Macaca fascicularis: one gene and its partner. The protein of the gene in region 1 purifies or fractionates together with the protein of each later gene. This does not show direct contact. Links are inferred from orthologs where the notes say so. Each region holds a gene or a part of one and is shown in the gene's direction. Other genes may lie near its edges.

The links.
Region 2: the proteins of PBXIP1 (region 1) and SLC27A1 purify together in Homo sapiens (co-immunoprecipitation; 3 studies listed by BioGRID and IntAct, with this or other methods). This does not show direct contact. The link is inferred for Macaca fascicularis from reciprocal best matches to the Homo sapiens genes PBXIP1 and SLC27A1.

What each region holds. Positions count from the first base shown.
Region 1 is NC_088375.1:106,188,853-106,194,834, forward strand, and holds the start of PBXIP1 (pre-B-cell leukemia transcription factor-interacting protein 1), read left to right. Parts: upstream 1-1,968; 5' UTR 1,969-2,044; intron 2,045-4,312; 5' UTR 4,313-4,348; coding exon 4,349-4,399; intron 4,400-4,490; exon of another isoform or gene 4,491-4,597; coding exon of another isoform or gene 4,598-4,618; intron 4,619-5,982. UniProt on the Homo sapiens protein: Regulator of pre-B-cell leukemia transcription factors (BPXs) function. Inhibits the binding of PBX1-HOX complex to DNA and blocks the transcriptional activity of E2A-PBX1.
Region 2 is NC_088393.1:17,806,019-17,812,105, forward strand, and holds the start of SLC27A1 (long-chain fatty acid transport protein 1), read left to right. Parts: upstream 1-2,260; 5' UTR 2,261-2,415; coding exon 2,416-2,612; intron 2,613-4,144; exon of another isoform or gene 4,145-4,876; coding exon of another isoform or gene 4,877-4,930; intron 4,931-6,087. UniProt on the Homo sapiens protein: Mediates the import of long-chain fatty acids (LCFA) into the cell by facilitating their transport at the plasma membrane.

The sequences.
Region 1 (5,982 bases):
AGGTGAGAGATGCTGTCAGGACATACCTTCCTCATACCAAAGTCACTGGTCCTTTCTCAGCCTCTCTTATGCTTTTCTCCTAATGACCATATTTTTGCCAAAAATTGGGATATGTTATCTGACAGACCAGAATATTTGAAGTTTGGGCTGTCCTGAAAGTCTGGATTTTGGTGGTACCCTCCTCCCCCAGCCCATCTGTTGCACATTATACTCCGTGTGTTCTTCAACTTTCGGTGCCCTTATTCCCCTGCCTTCCTGGCTTGATTGAAGGAAAGCTTGAAAAGGCGCAGAGCCCTTATACCTCATTTCTTCCCTGATAAAAGGATCCAGGTGAGGTCCTGTCACAGCCTGTGGGTAGGGGATGTGGCGGGATCCTCATTGCCATGGTACTCAAAGGCAGAAGAGCCTGGAGTTTGTTGCTTTTCTGCTATTCTTTCATATCCTGGGCCTGGTGATCAGCAATTCTCATTCCTCTCAGCCAAAGGCCTGCACTGGGTTTTATTTGTCCTTTTTTATTTTTTAAGCACTGCCTGCCAGAGACGGGCCTGGGGCCTGATGAGGACCTTAGCGCTGCTCATTCTCCTTTTTGGTTCATGCACACATTCCTCTGTGCGTGGGGAAAGCAGGCCCTCCTCAGAGAAGTCAGGGGTTCCCCGGCTCGAGGTATAGTGGCAAAGACCTAGTGGTCCCCTACCCCCACATCTCTCAGTTCCTGGCATGAGGAGAGAAGACCTTGCTCTGGTGGAGCTGACAACCTTTGAGGCCGGGAGGAGAAAGCAGCCTCTGGGCATCGTTCCCAGTGTCCTCCACACTAAAACGGTGTAGATGGCAACCCCCCCCCCGCCCGCCACCCCGCTGCTCACCTCTTGTGTTTGTGGTTCTGTTTGCCCCATTTATCTGTTGCTATTTTTGTGTTGTCTTCCCCCGCTCCGCATTTTGTAAAATGGCTCCTGGGGGAGTGTCTTTGCTGGATCTGCTCCCTCTCGCCCTCTCACTCCACTACTTTTTGGAAGAAAGTGATGGCAGAATGCGGTGGTGGTGGGGGGTCTTTTGTACTGTTGGATTAATAAAATGACTAAAATCCCAGACAAGGACTCCTTGCTGTTGCTGTGTGAAAAGGCTGGAATGAGCCACTGTCACTGCTGGGTAGGGTGCTTAGGGGTTGAGGATAAGTATACTCCCCAGGGTCCCTGGGAGTGGGAATGGCAGATCTGGCCCCTGAACTGACCCTGGTATAAGCTGCTGAGCCAAGGGAGGCCTGTGTTTCCCCGCCCATCCCCCTGTGTCTCAGCTGTGAGAAACTGAGTTTCCTTTCTGAGCATATTCCTGGTCCAGGCCTGGAGCCAGGAGGATTTGGCACCAAAGCCTCTGGAAGACAAGTGCTTGAGCTCTTCTGGGTTTAGCACCCCACCCACCTCCCAGTTGTTTGGGTTAGGGAGCAAGTGTAGCTCTAAGGGTGAGGGGAGGGGCTACTCCTGTTACAGCAAATTTCATTTTGGGATGTTTTTCAGATCGTTCCCGTCCCCCAACAGTTCTTTTAAAAGTAGCCATGGCATCTTTTAAGCAGTCTGTGCTGGAGCAGATTGGGGAGAACGGCAGGAGGGCTATTTCCACACCCTGGATTTGCGACCTGTCTCTCTCCCTTCCCCCATCTCACAGCTGTCTCTGTCTATCCGGGGACCAACCTGGCCCCTTCGTCATCTCAGAAGACTGCACCCTCTGCCTTTCTCTCAGTTTGTGGGGGAGGGGGTTCCCTCTAGAAACTGTTTAGACACTGGGAAAGAAGGGCAGGAAACTCAGGATACAGTTAGCTGAGACCTCGGTCGTCCACCCGGTAAGCTCAAGTTTAGGGGCCCTGTCGCTAGACCTCCCTTCCCCTCCCCTGACTCTCAAGTCCTTCTCTTATTGGCCAAAAGTTTCCGCCCCCTTGGGGATGTTGACTTTTCATTGGTCAGTTTCTGGTCACATGATTCTCTTCTCGGGCTGCAAACGAAGGAAAGCCAGCAACAAGTTAAGCTGAAGACCGAAGCAAGAGCTGGGTCAGGTAATGCCTTAGCTGGGAAGGGGTCCACAGATTCCCTGTGACGGGGGTGGAATAAGGAAAAGGGAAGGCGGAACTAATCTAGAAGGAATGAGCTGCTTTTGATTTCCGGGCTGGGGGAGGAGGGCCAGGTGCCGACACTAACAAAACAGGAACCCCAGGCAAGTGGCCCTAGATCCTTTGCTTTAGAGGTTTGGAGGCGCAACTGTTAGAAGAGTTTAAATTAACTAGAGACGAGACTTCCTAGCTTTGTACTGAGTGGGAGAGCTCCCCCTTTAGCTGTTTTTTAGAAATAGCAGAAGTCTCTGTCATAATCCTTACAGGAGGTGTTTGTTGAATCCTGCCTGAATGAAAAGAAGGGGGTGGGGGGAGGGAGTGGAGGTGGGTTTTCTTCCAGAAGGTCGATGAAAAGAAAAAGATCTGGAAACACAGCAGGGAAGGGTGGAGATTAGACAGCAGAAGGAACTTCCTAATAAGGCAGTGAGATGCTGGCTTGGGAGAAGAGGGGTATTTTTTTGAATCCTGGGTTAACCTAACCAAGAGAGAGATATCAGGGTTTGGGACCCAGAGTATAGGAGCTTCAGAGTGTCTCCTATTTGGGTCTTATAAGTATTTGTTTTGTTGACCCAAATATCTTTGCTGGTTTCCATGGAGACAGTGGGTCTGACATCACTGTGGTTGCCATGGTGCCTGGTTCTAGAGGACCTGAGCAGACTGTACACACAGCTAGGCATAAACAGGGACTTCAGCCCAAGCTGCTGCCACTTCCTTCCTGCCACCACCTGTTAACAGTCAGCAACTGGGGATGGGGAGATGATGACAACGGCGGGGGCGGAGCCACAAGCGGAAGGCTGAACAGCCATGGCTCTATGGATACTTAGAGATGCATGCCAGGGTGTCCTTTTGGACTTGGTACAGGGAAGTCATTACAGCCATTTTCCTGTCTCTGTGTGGGATGGGTGCATGTGTCTGGGAGGATGGGCATTGGGAAAGACCTATCCAGGACTTGGATCTTGACTGGCAGGAGCCACAGGAGGTTATTTAGGGCACCACGTGGGACTTGAAAACAGCTCAAACAGAAGGGGATAAGGTGGTTGGTTTCGAAGGTAGAACTGCCGTACTGTCCCAGCCTCACTTCCCTTTTCCTGAGTTTCCTTATAAAGTGCTGGGGAAGCAGTCATTTATCCTCTTCTGAAGGATCACAATCCAGTACTCTTGAGAGGTCAGCTCATCTATCCTTCCACCTTTATGCCTGGTCCCAACAGGAGCTGCCTGAGGGAACTGTCTTAGCCTTGGATGAAGGGGCGGATCCCTCTCTTCTTACTCTGCTTTGTGTCAGTCAGGCTTTGGAAACTGGAGTGATTCCCTCCCCTGTCCCTGTCAAGTCAGAGCAGATTAACGAGGTGCAGGACCATAGCCCTGATTTTTGTCTATCTTTTGCAAGCTATAAAGTGGTGTATATATACATGATAGTTGCCATAAATCCATTTTCCCAGTCACCTTCAAGTTCCCTAACACCAAACTCTGGCGATTACTAAGAAGGTAAACAGAATTTATGATGGAGCTGAGAGTGATGAGGAGACATAAAAGGTGCATCCAGGTGGATCTAAGCTATGCCAGTGGTTCTCAACCCTGGGTGCGCATGAGAATCATTTGAGAGGTTTTTAAAAAGACCCACGCCTGGGCCTACACCCCAACTCAATTGAATCAAAATCTTAGGTGATTCCAATGTGCAACCAAGATTGAGAACCATTGAACTAGACCATACCAAGGACTTATGCTGGGCAAGTGGTGGGACATTTAGGGCTGAAAGAGGCCATCAAGTCTTCCTTTGCAGGTCCTGGGGGAGAAGGTAGTGATTGTGTAGGAACCTGGTGTTGGGAAGGGAGGGCAAGGCTTCTTATTGGCAAGTTAAGTCTGTCAACCTTGCTGGGCTTAATCTTCCCTGACTAAAATGTCAGGGGGCTGGACTGGAATTCCCCAGAGCCTTTCCAGCCTATGCTACTTTGACCTTTCAAGGTCAGTTCAGTTTTCCAAGGCCCTGTTGGTCCCCGGAAGAGGCTGGCTTCTCTGTGGCTGTTGGCAGATTCTGATTTGCAAGGCAAATACTGCTTAGAAGAGTTGGGGTATCAGGGAGAGAAGGACTGGAACCAGGCTTGGTTCTGGAGGCTGCTGCCCAGCACTTGAACCTTGGAACCCAGCCAAGGCTGCTTTCTGCATCCTGCCCCTCCTGAAAGGAGCACCCATCCTTAAGAGAGCTTTCTTCTGCAGGTGGCAGCCACAGCAGCCTCAGGGACCTCAGCAACTATGGCCTCCTGCCCAGACTCTGATAATAGCTGGGTGCTTGCTGGCTCCGAGGTATGAAGAGCAGGCCTGGGAACCATGGGGGCAGGCTTGGGGGGTGTTTCTGCAGTGCTGGGCTTCTTTCTTGGTGGGTCCTTTTCCTTAGTCCTGATGGTCACCTGCATCACTTCCTGCTGGCTGTTAGAGGAACTCCAGTAGCAGGAAGAAGGAGATCGGGCCCCAGGGCTCAAGTGTTGGCACTTGGACCATGCTATGAAAGAAGGGACCAGTTCGGTAAGCTGAGACAAGTAGGGAGGGATTTCGAATGGAGAGACCAATGTGAACAAAGGTCCCGAGGCGATAGTGGGGAAAGCCATGCTGGGGGAGACTGTGGGACACCCATGGGTGATGTGGAGACGTGGGTTGGAGCCAGTGTTGGAGTGAGGTTGGGGGCAGAACATCGGAACCCCTGGAAGAGACCTGAAGGGCCTGGCTGAGGCCTTCAGGCCTCATCCTGATGGGAAATCAATGTGGGGCTTTGGGTTAGAGGGATCAGGACAATCATTGTCTTGGGCAGAGGGTGAAGCCACTGTGCAGCCTGGGTGGGAACAGGGAGAGAGTGTTTTGAAGACCCTCTGCAGCAGTCCAGGTAGCAGCTGGTGGGGCAGAAGCCCACTGAGGAGGGAGAAGGGGGCTGGTAGGATGGGGAACTGAGTGGCTAGAGAAGGGATGGCAAAAATTTGTCAAAGGCATCTCTGAGAGTTCCAAGACCTTGCGACTTTGTATATTAGAGCCACCAGGAGGGGAGGAGGGGAGGAGCTCGGTTTCAATATGTTGAGTTTGAGGTGCTCTTGAGGAACCCAGCTGGGAGTAAGGAGTTGACCTTGGGGATGATGCTGGAGCAAGATACATGGATTGGAACTCGCTGGCAGAGGGAAGGCAGGTATGAGCAGATGGGCATCAGGCTCTCAGAGCCCTGGCCTCCTGTTGAGGTGTCTTTGTTGACAGCTGGGGGACCTTGGGCATGCCATGTCACCTCTCTGTCCTCTCCTGTAAAATGGGGGTCATGATTTTTGCCTTATAGGAGGGACCATGAGAATAAAAATGTTTTGAAAATGGCAAAGACACAAGTAAGATGAAGCATTATTCTCAAAGGGATAGTTGGAGCCACGGGGCAGGTGGCAGGCCAGGGCCCTGCGGAAGGGGAGTAGGCAGAGGGAGGAGGCCAAGGCTGTGTGGCCAGGGCTGAATGTTCAGGGAGAGCACCCTGGAGACAGGCTGTCTGTGGTTGGGGTGGGTTGGGCTTCTGTGAGCAGCTGCTGGGTGTCGGGGGAGTGTCAGGGGCCAGTGGGAAAGGCCAGAAAGGCTTAGGAGATGTAAGTAGTTGTCCAGTTGAGAGGGCAGCTGCAGTGACACCCCGGGAGGCATAACTGTGACCCGTGGGCACCCAGGGAACTTTGTTCTCTTACCTTCCTCCTACCCTTAATATTATAATATCTGTGTTGTTCATCTGTGGGGAAGGAAGTGCTACTGATCTTGAGGGGAGGGAAATCTAGGCTGTAGCTCACCTCCTGGCGGTGGGGCACCGGGTTTGTGCTGCATCCAGTGCCTTGGTGTGGTGGTGCTTCTCTGTGTAGCGGAAACCTGGCCCCTGAAAG
Region 2 (6,087 bases), on another chromosome or scaffold:
GCGCGGTGGCTCAAGCCTGTAATCCCAGCACTTTGGGAGGCCGAGGTGGGCGGATCACAAGGTCAGGAGATCGAGACCACAGTGAAACCCCGTCTCTACTAAAAATACAAAAAATTAGCCGGGCGCGGTGGCAGGCGCCTGTAGTCCTAGCTACTCAGGAGGCTGAGGCAGGAGAATGGCGGGAACCCGGGAGGCGGAGCTTACAGTGAGCCGAGATCACGCCACTGCACTCCAGCCTGGGCAACAGCGTGAGACTCCGTCTCAAAAAAAAAAAAAAAAAAAAAAAAAGAGTAATAAAGAGTAATGCTACAAACTAATGATTAACATTCATGTAGAATCATATCTATATTCTATTTCTAGTATAACTATTTTTATTATATATATTTTCTTTATTATACTGGAACAGCTTGTGCCTTCAGTCTCTTGCCTCGGCACCTGGGTGACTTGCCGCCCACAGAGGTGACCAGTCCGAGGCCACCTGGTTAGAAAGGGGCAGAGAGCAGTTTGGCCCAGAAGCTTGAGTTTTACTCCCTGGTCCACATCTCAGTTTCCTGGGGATAGGACAGTCCCCAATCCCTCATCTGAAATCCCTGGGGACAGGTATGTTTGGGAATTAGGAGATTTTGTATTTTAGGAAAACAACAGGGGGCAGAGGCTGCTGTATACCCGTGGTGCTTTAGGGGGCTCAGAAAATAATACCCAGGCTGGACTCAGTGGCTCACGCCTGTAATCCCAACACTTTGGGAGGCCCAGGCAGGGGATCACTTGAGGTCAGGAGTTCGAGACCAGCCTGGCTAACATGGCAAAACCCCGTCTCTACTAAAAATACAGAAATTAGCCAGGCATGGTGGTGTGCATCTGTAATCCCAGCTACTCAGGAGGCTGAGGCAGGAGAATCGCTTGAACCTGGGAGGCAGAGGTCGCAGTGAGCTAAGATCGGGCAACTGCACTCCAGCCTGGGTGACAGAGCGAGACTCCGACAGACAGACAGAAAGAAAGAAAGAAATGAAAGTAAGAAAGGAAGAAAAAGAAAGAGGAAAGAAGGCAGGCAGGCAGGCAGGAAGGAAGGACCCCAAAATGAAGCAAAAGTTTTTCTCCGACCTTTTCCTGCCCTCTTGTGTCTCAGATCTATTCTCCCTCAAGGCTGGTCATAAAAACTAGAATCCCTCTTTCCCAAGGTAGGTTTTAGAAACGAGAACCCTTGGCTGGGTGTGGTGGCTCATGTCTGTAATCCCGGCACTTTGGGAGGCCAAGCCAGGCAGATCACTTGATATCAGAAATTTGTGACCAGCCTGGTCAACATGGTGAAACCCCATCACTACCAAAAATGCATAATGAGCTAGGCATGGTGGCATATGCCTGTAATCCCAGCTCCTGGGGAGCCTGAGGCAGGAATCGCGTGGACCCGGGAGGTGGAGGTTGCAGTGAGCCAAGATTGAGACACTGCACTCCAGCCTGTGTGACAGAGTAAGACTCCATCTCAAAACAAACCGGTAAGATGGAGGGGGAAAAGGGAGGAAAGGAAAAAAGAGGAAGCGGGGAAGAGAGGAGGAGGGCAGGGAGGAGGAGAGAAAAGGGCAGAAAGAAGAGAAGGAGGGAGAAAGAGAGAAGGAGGAAGTGGGATAAGAGAAGAGAGAATCAGAGCACAAGAAAGGTGGAGGGGAAGTTTAGGGAAGAAAAAGTAGTAGTAGGAGGGGTAAGAAGAAAGGAAGGAGGAGGGAAAGGAGGAGAGGAGGGGAGGAGGGACAGGGAACACTCAGCTGACATTTACGAATGAATGAATCTCAACTCCAAGTTAGCATGATAGCTCCAGTCCTCAGTCTCTTTTTTTTTTCCTTCCTTCCTTCCTTCCTTCCTTCCTTCCTTCCTTCCTTCCTTCCTTCCTCCCTCCCTCCCTCCCTCCCTCCCTCCCTCCCTTCCTCCCTCCCTCCCTCTCTCCCTCCCTTCCTTCCTTTCTCCTCCTCCTCCTCCTCCTCCTTCTTTTTTTAAGACAGGGTCTTGCTTTGTCACCCAGGCTGGAGTATACTGACGCAATCTTGGCTCACTGGATCCTCTGCCTTTCAGGTTCAAGCGATTCTGCGCCCTCAGCCTCCTGAGTGTAAAGGTAAACTGAGGCTGCAGCCAAACCGGGCACGAAGACACAAGGCAAATGGCAGTGAGAATAGCCTTTTATTAGGGCTTGCCGGTGAGGTTCCTCAGTCCAAAGGTGTGGGCCGAGGAAGTCGCGCTGAGGGAGGAGGGTAGGGGCTTTTTATAGCCCGAGAGGTAGGGAAGCTGGTTGTGCAAACAGGGCCTGGGGGGGTCTTGAAACTACTAGGGCAGGAGTTGAGTAAGGGTCATGAGGAAGGGGTCTTTGGAAACTGTCAACCGAAATTGCTGTTTACGAACTTGTGGAATGCAGGTGAGCTGCAGGTCATGGGGGAGTGTGGTTGCCTAGCCAGAACTCTGAGGCATGTAAGTCTGCGGGTGTGTACAAGGGTGAAGGGAGTCTTTAACAAAAGGCCTGCTATGCCGGGTAACGCCGCCATGTTGGGTCTAGATTCCTGCCTAACATTCCGACCTCTTTCTAATAAGAAAATGGGGCAACGTGTTCATCTGGCTGCTTCCTGCTGGTATGGGTCGTCGTGGCGTTCTTCGGAGGTCGGAACTCGGGTATGGGGTGGAGCAGCATCTGATTGAAAGTGACCTGGGAGACTTCTTTCATGCAGTCCTGGATGAAGCGGAGGACACAGGGAGCTATGAGTAGCAAGAAGCCAATGATTAGTAAGGGGCTTAGAAAGGGTAGGACTTAACCGGCCACAGACGACTGCCACCACCTAAGTGAGGGCCTTGATCCGAGGTTTTTCTGGTGGAGTCTTTCTCAAATCTTTTCTAGAGTGAGGAGATTGGTTTCTACTAGTCCTGACTCATTGATGTAGTGTTTGGCCGGGAAGGGGAAAGGAGGGGGTTAGGTTAGAGGAGTTAAAAGGGCTGGGTAAAGGTACCGCAACCAGTGGGGGCTATCTCAGAACCCTTGAGGCAAGACAGTCCAGGTCAGCTGGGAAGAAATATGAGTGTCTGGATCTTCCTATGTAAAAGCAAACAGAAAGTGACAGTCAGATGTAAGGGAATGGTGAAGAAGGCATCTTTTAGGTCAAGGACAATAAAGTGAGTGGTATCGAGGGGAATGCACGAGAGAAGTGTATATGGGTTAGGAACAACTGGAAAGGTGGGGACTACTGCCTCATTGATGAGGCATAGGTCCTGCATGAGACGATAGGCCCCAGAGCTTTTCCGTACAGGCATGATAGGAGTATTGCATGGTGAGTTGGCAGGGACTACAATGTGTTGCTGGGGCAGGCGCATGATGATGGGTTTTAGTCCCTGTCGGTGTTCAAGGGAGATAGGGAACTGGGGCCTAGAGGGAAACTTAGAAGGGTCTTTTGGCCGGATGCGGACCGGAGTGTGGTGCTGGGCAATGATCAGCTTGGAGGTGTCCCATAACTTAGGGTTAATGGGGACTGGAAACAGGAGTGGGGGGTCAGCCTGGCGGGGTTTGTCAGGTGAGAGGAGGGGGAAGAGGAATGTGAGGTGTGGGGAGGGGGTGGGCCGGAAATGAACTGAGTCCCTTAGCTTGGAGAGGAGATCTCGTCCTAACAAGGGGACTGGGCACGAAGGAATGATAAGAAACGAGTGTGAGAAGAGGGAGCCATCCAGGCAGCAAGACAGAGGAGGAGTCTGGCGGTAGGTGGAGGGAGTGCCGTCAATTTCCATGACTGTGACAGTGGAGGGGTAGCTGTGGCCACTGAAGGAAGGCAAAGCAGAGTAGGTAGCCCCCGTGTCCATAAGGAAGGATATGGACTTACCCGCTACCTGGAGCATGACCCTGGGCTCGGCGAGAGTGAGAGGGGTCCCCGAGTCTGGGCCTCTTCAATCTTCATCAGTGTCAAGGAGCTGGGGCGCCTCCAATACCTGGAGGAGGGTCGTCACGTGTAGGCGCAGCGACCATCCTTAGGTCAGGGCAGTCTGACTTCCAGTGGCCCATCTGCCAACAGTTTGGACAGGGGCGAGTTGGCTCCTTTGGGTTAGGGCACTGCCTGGCCCAGTGGCCATCGGTGCCTCACTTGAAGCAGGCACCAGATGGCGCTCGGGGAGTACCTCCTTTCTGGGAGCTCCTGGAGCCGGATGGCCTCGGGGCTGCTACCAAGGCCTGGGTTTGGAGTTGTACCTTCTGTTTTAGCCTGGCCTGTCGTTGGGCCTCAGCTGCTTCCTCCCTGGAGTTGTAGACCTTGAAGGCCAGTTTGACTAAGTCCTGGATGGGAGTTTGAGGGCCTTCCTCCGCCTTTAAAAAAATTTTTTTTTGGACATCAGGGGCTGACTGAGAAATGAAATATGAGGCCAAGATGGTTGCTCCTGCAGGGGGGGCAGGGTCAAGGCGGGTGTACTGAATAAGTGCCTCAGTCAGCCGGTTAAGACAAACAGCCGGATTTTCATCTGCGCCTTGGACTACCTCCTTTAGTTTGTTAAAGTTGACTGATTTGTTAGAGGCTGCCTGCATGCTGGCAAGAAGGCACTGAACCATCATGTCTCGGTGACAGCGGCCTGCCTGCCCTACCTGGTAGTCCCAGTCGGGCTCAGCCGAGGGCACTGCCTCAGTGCCGACTGGCATGGCGGGGTCAGTTAAATGAACCTGGTTAGTGTGCTGCCTGGCTGCCGCTAGGATGCGCTCCTGCTCCTCAGGAGACAGGGTTGAGGTCATAACGACATGGAGGTCATGCCAGGTGAGATCATATGCCTGGCACAGATACCTAAACTCTTTGATATAACGAGTAGGATTGGCTGAAAAGGAGCCTGCACGCCCCTCAACCTTAGACAAATCTGCCAATGAAAACGGCACATGGACCTGGACTACTCCTTCGGCACCTGCCACCTCTCACAAGGGACACAGGAGGTCAGTCCTGGACCGAGTATGGGCTGAGACAGGCAAGGAAGGGGAGGAGGTGGAAGTAGGGGAGACAGAATCTGTCAGGTTTGGTAAGGGCACAGGAGTGGGGGAAGGGTAGGGAGGCGTTGATGAGGACAGGGATAACGGTGGGTCAGGGTAAGGAGGGAGGTTGGGCAGGAGACCGGAGGGGTGGCCGGGATAGGGTGTCAGGAGGCTCAGAAAAAGAGGAGGAATCATCCCCCTCCTTGCTCGAGGGAAGAGACTTTGTGAGCAGAACTTGAGCTAACGAGCATTGGGCGCAGAGATCTGGGTGAGAATGCAAGTCCCAAAAGGCCTGAACATAGGGTATCTCGGACCATTTGCCTAGTCTCTTGCAGAAGTTGGTCAGATCTGTGAGAATGTTAAAGTCTAGAGTGCCTTCTGCAGGCCACTGAGACTGATTATCCAATTTATATTGCGGCCATGCTATTGTGCAGAAGAAAATGAACCGCTTTCGTTTTATGTCTTGGCTGAGACTTAAAGTCTGGAGATTCGCCAAGAGGCACCCCAGAGGAGATTCTCGGTTTGGTTTGGACTGGGTAGTTCCTATGGTCTCAAGGCGGGCAGTCTGGAGGCAATGGGAGCGTCCTCCTACTGCCACGTGGAGTGCGGGGTATGGTGGCTTCTGGGGAGGTTGGACGTCTCCTAGTCCCCGGTGCTGAGGTCACAGCTGACTGGAGAGAGCCCCTGATGCGGCCGCACGTTTCGGACAGGGACTCCCGGAGGGAGCCATCAGGACAGGGGGAAAATTTACCCAGCAGTGATCGAATTGAGTCTTAAATTTGGTGAGACGGCTCCAGGCTTGAGGAGGGGATCCTGGCTCAGGAAGAGGAGAGCCTGCCCGACCTAGCAGGGGTCCAGGGAGGGGGTCTCCTCCTGGGTTTTGGCACCAAATGTAAAGATAAACTGAGGCTGGAGCCGTACCAGGAACCTGGCTCAGGGAGAGGAGAGCCTGCCCGACCTAGCAGGGGTCCAGCGAGGGGTCTCCTCCCGGGTTTCGGCACCAAATGTAAAGGTAAACTGAGGCTGGAGCCAAACCGGGAATGAAGACACAAGGCAAATGGCAGTGAGAATAGCCTTTTATTAGGGCTTGTGGGCGAGGTTCCTCGGTCCAAAGGTGTGGG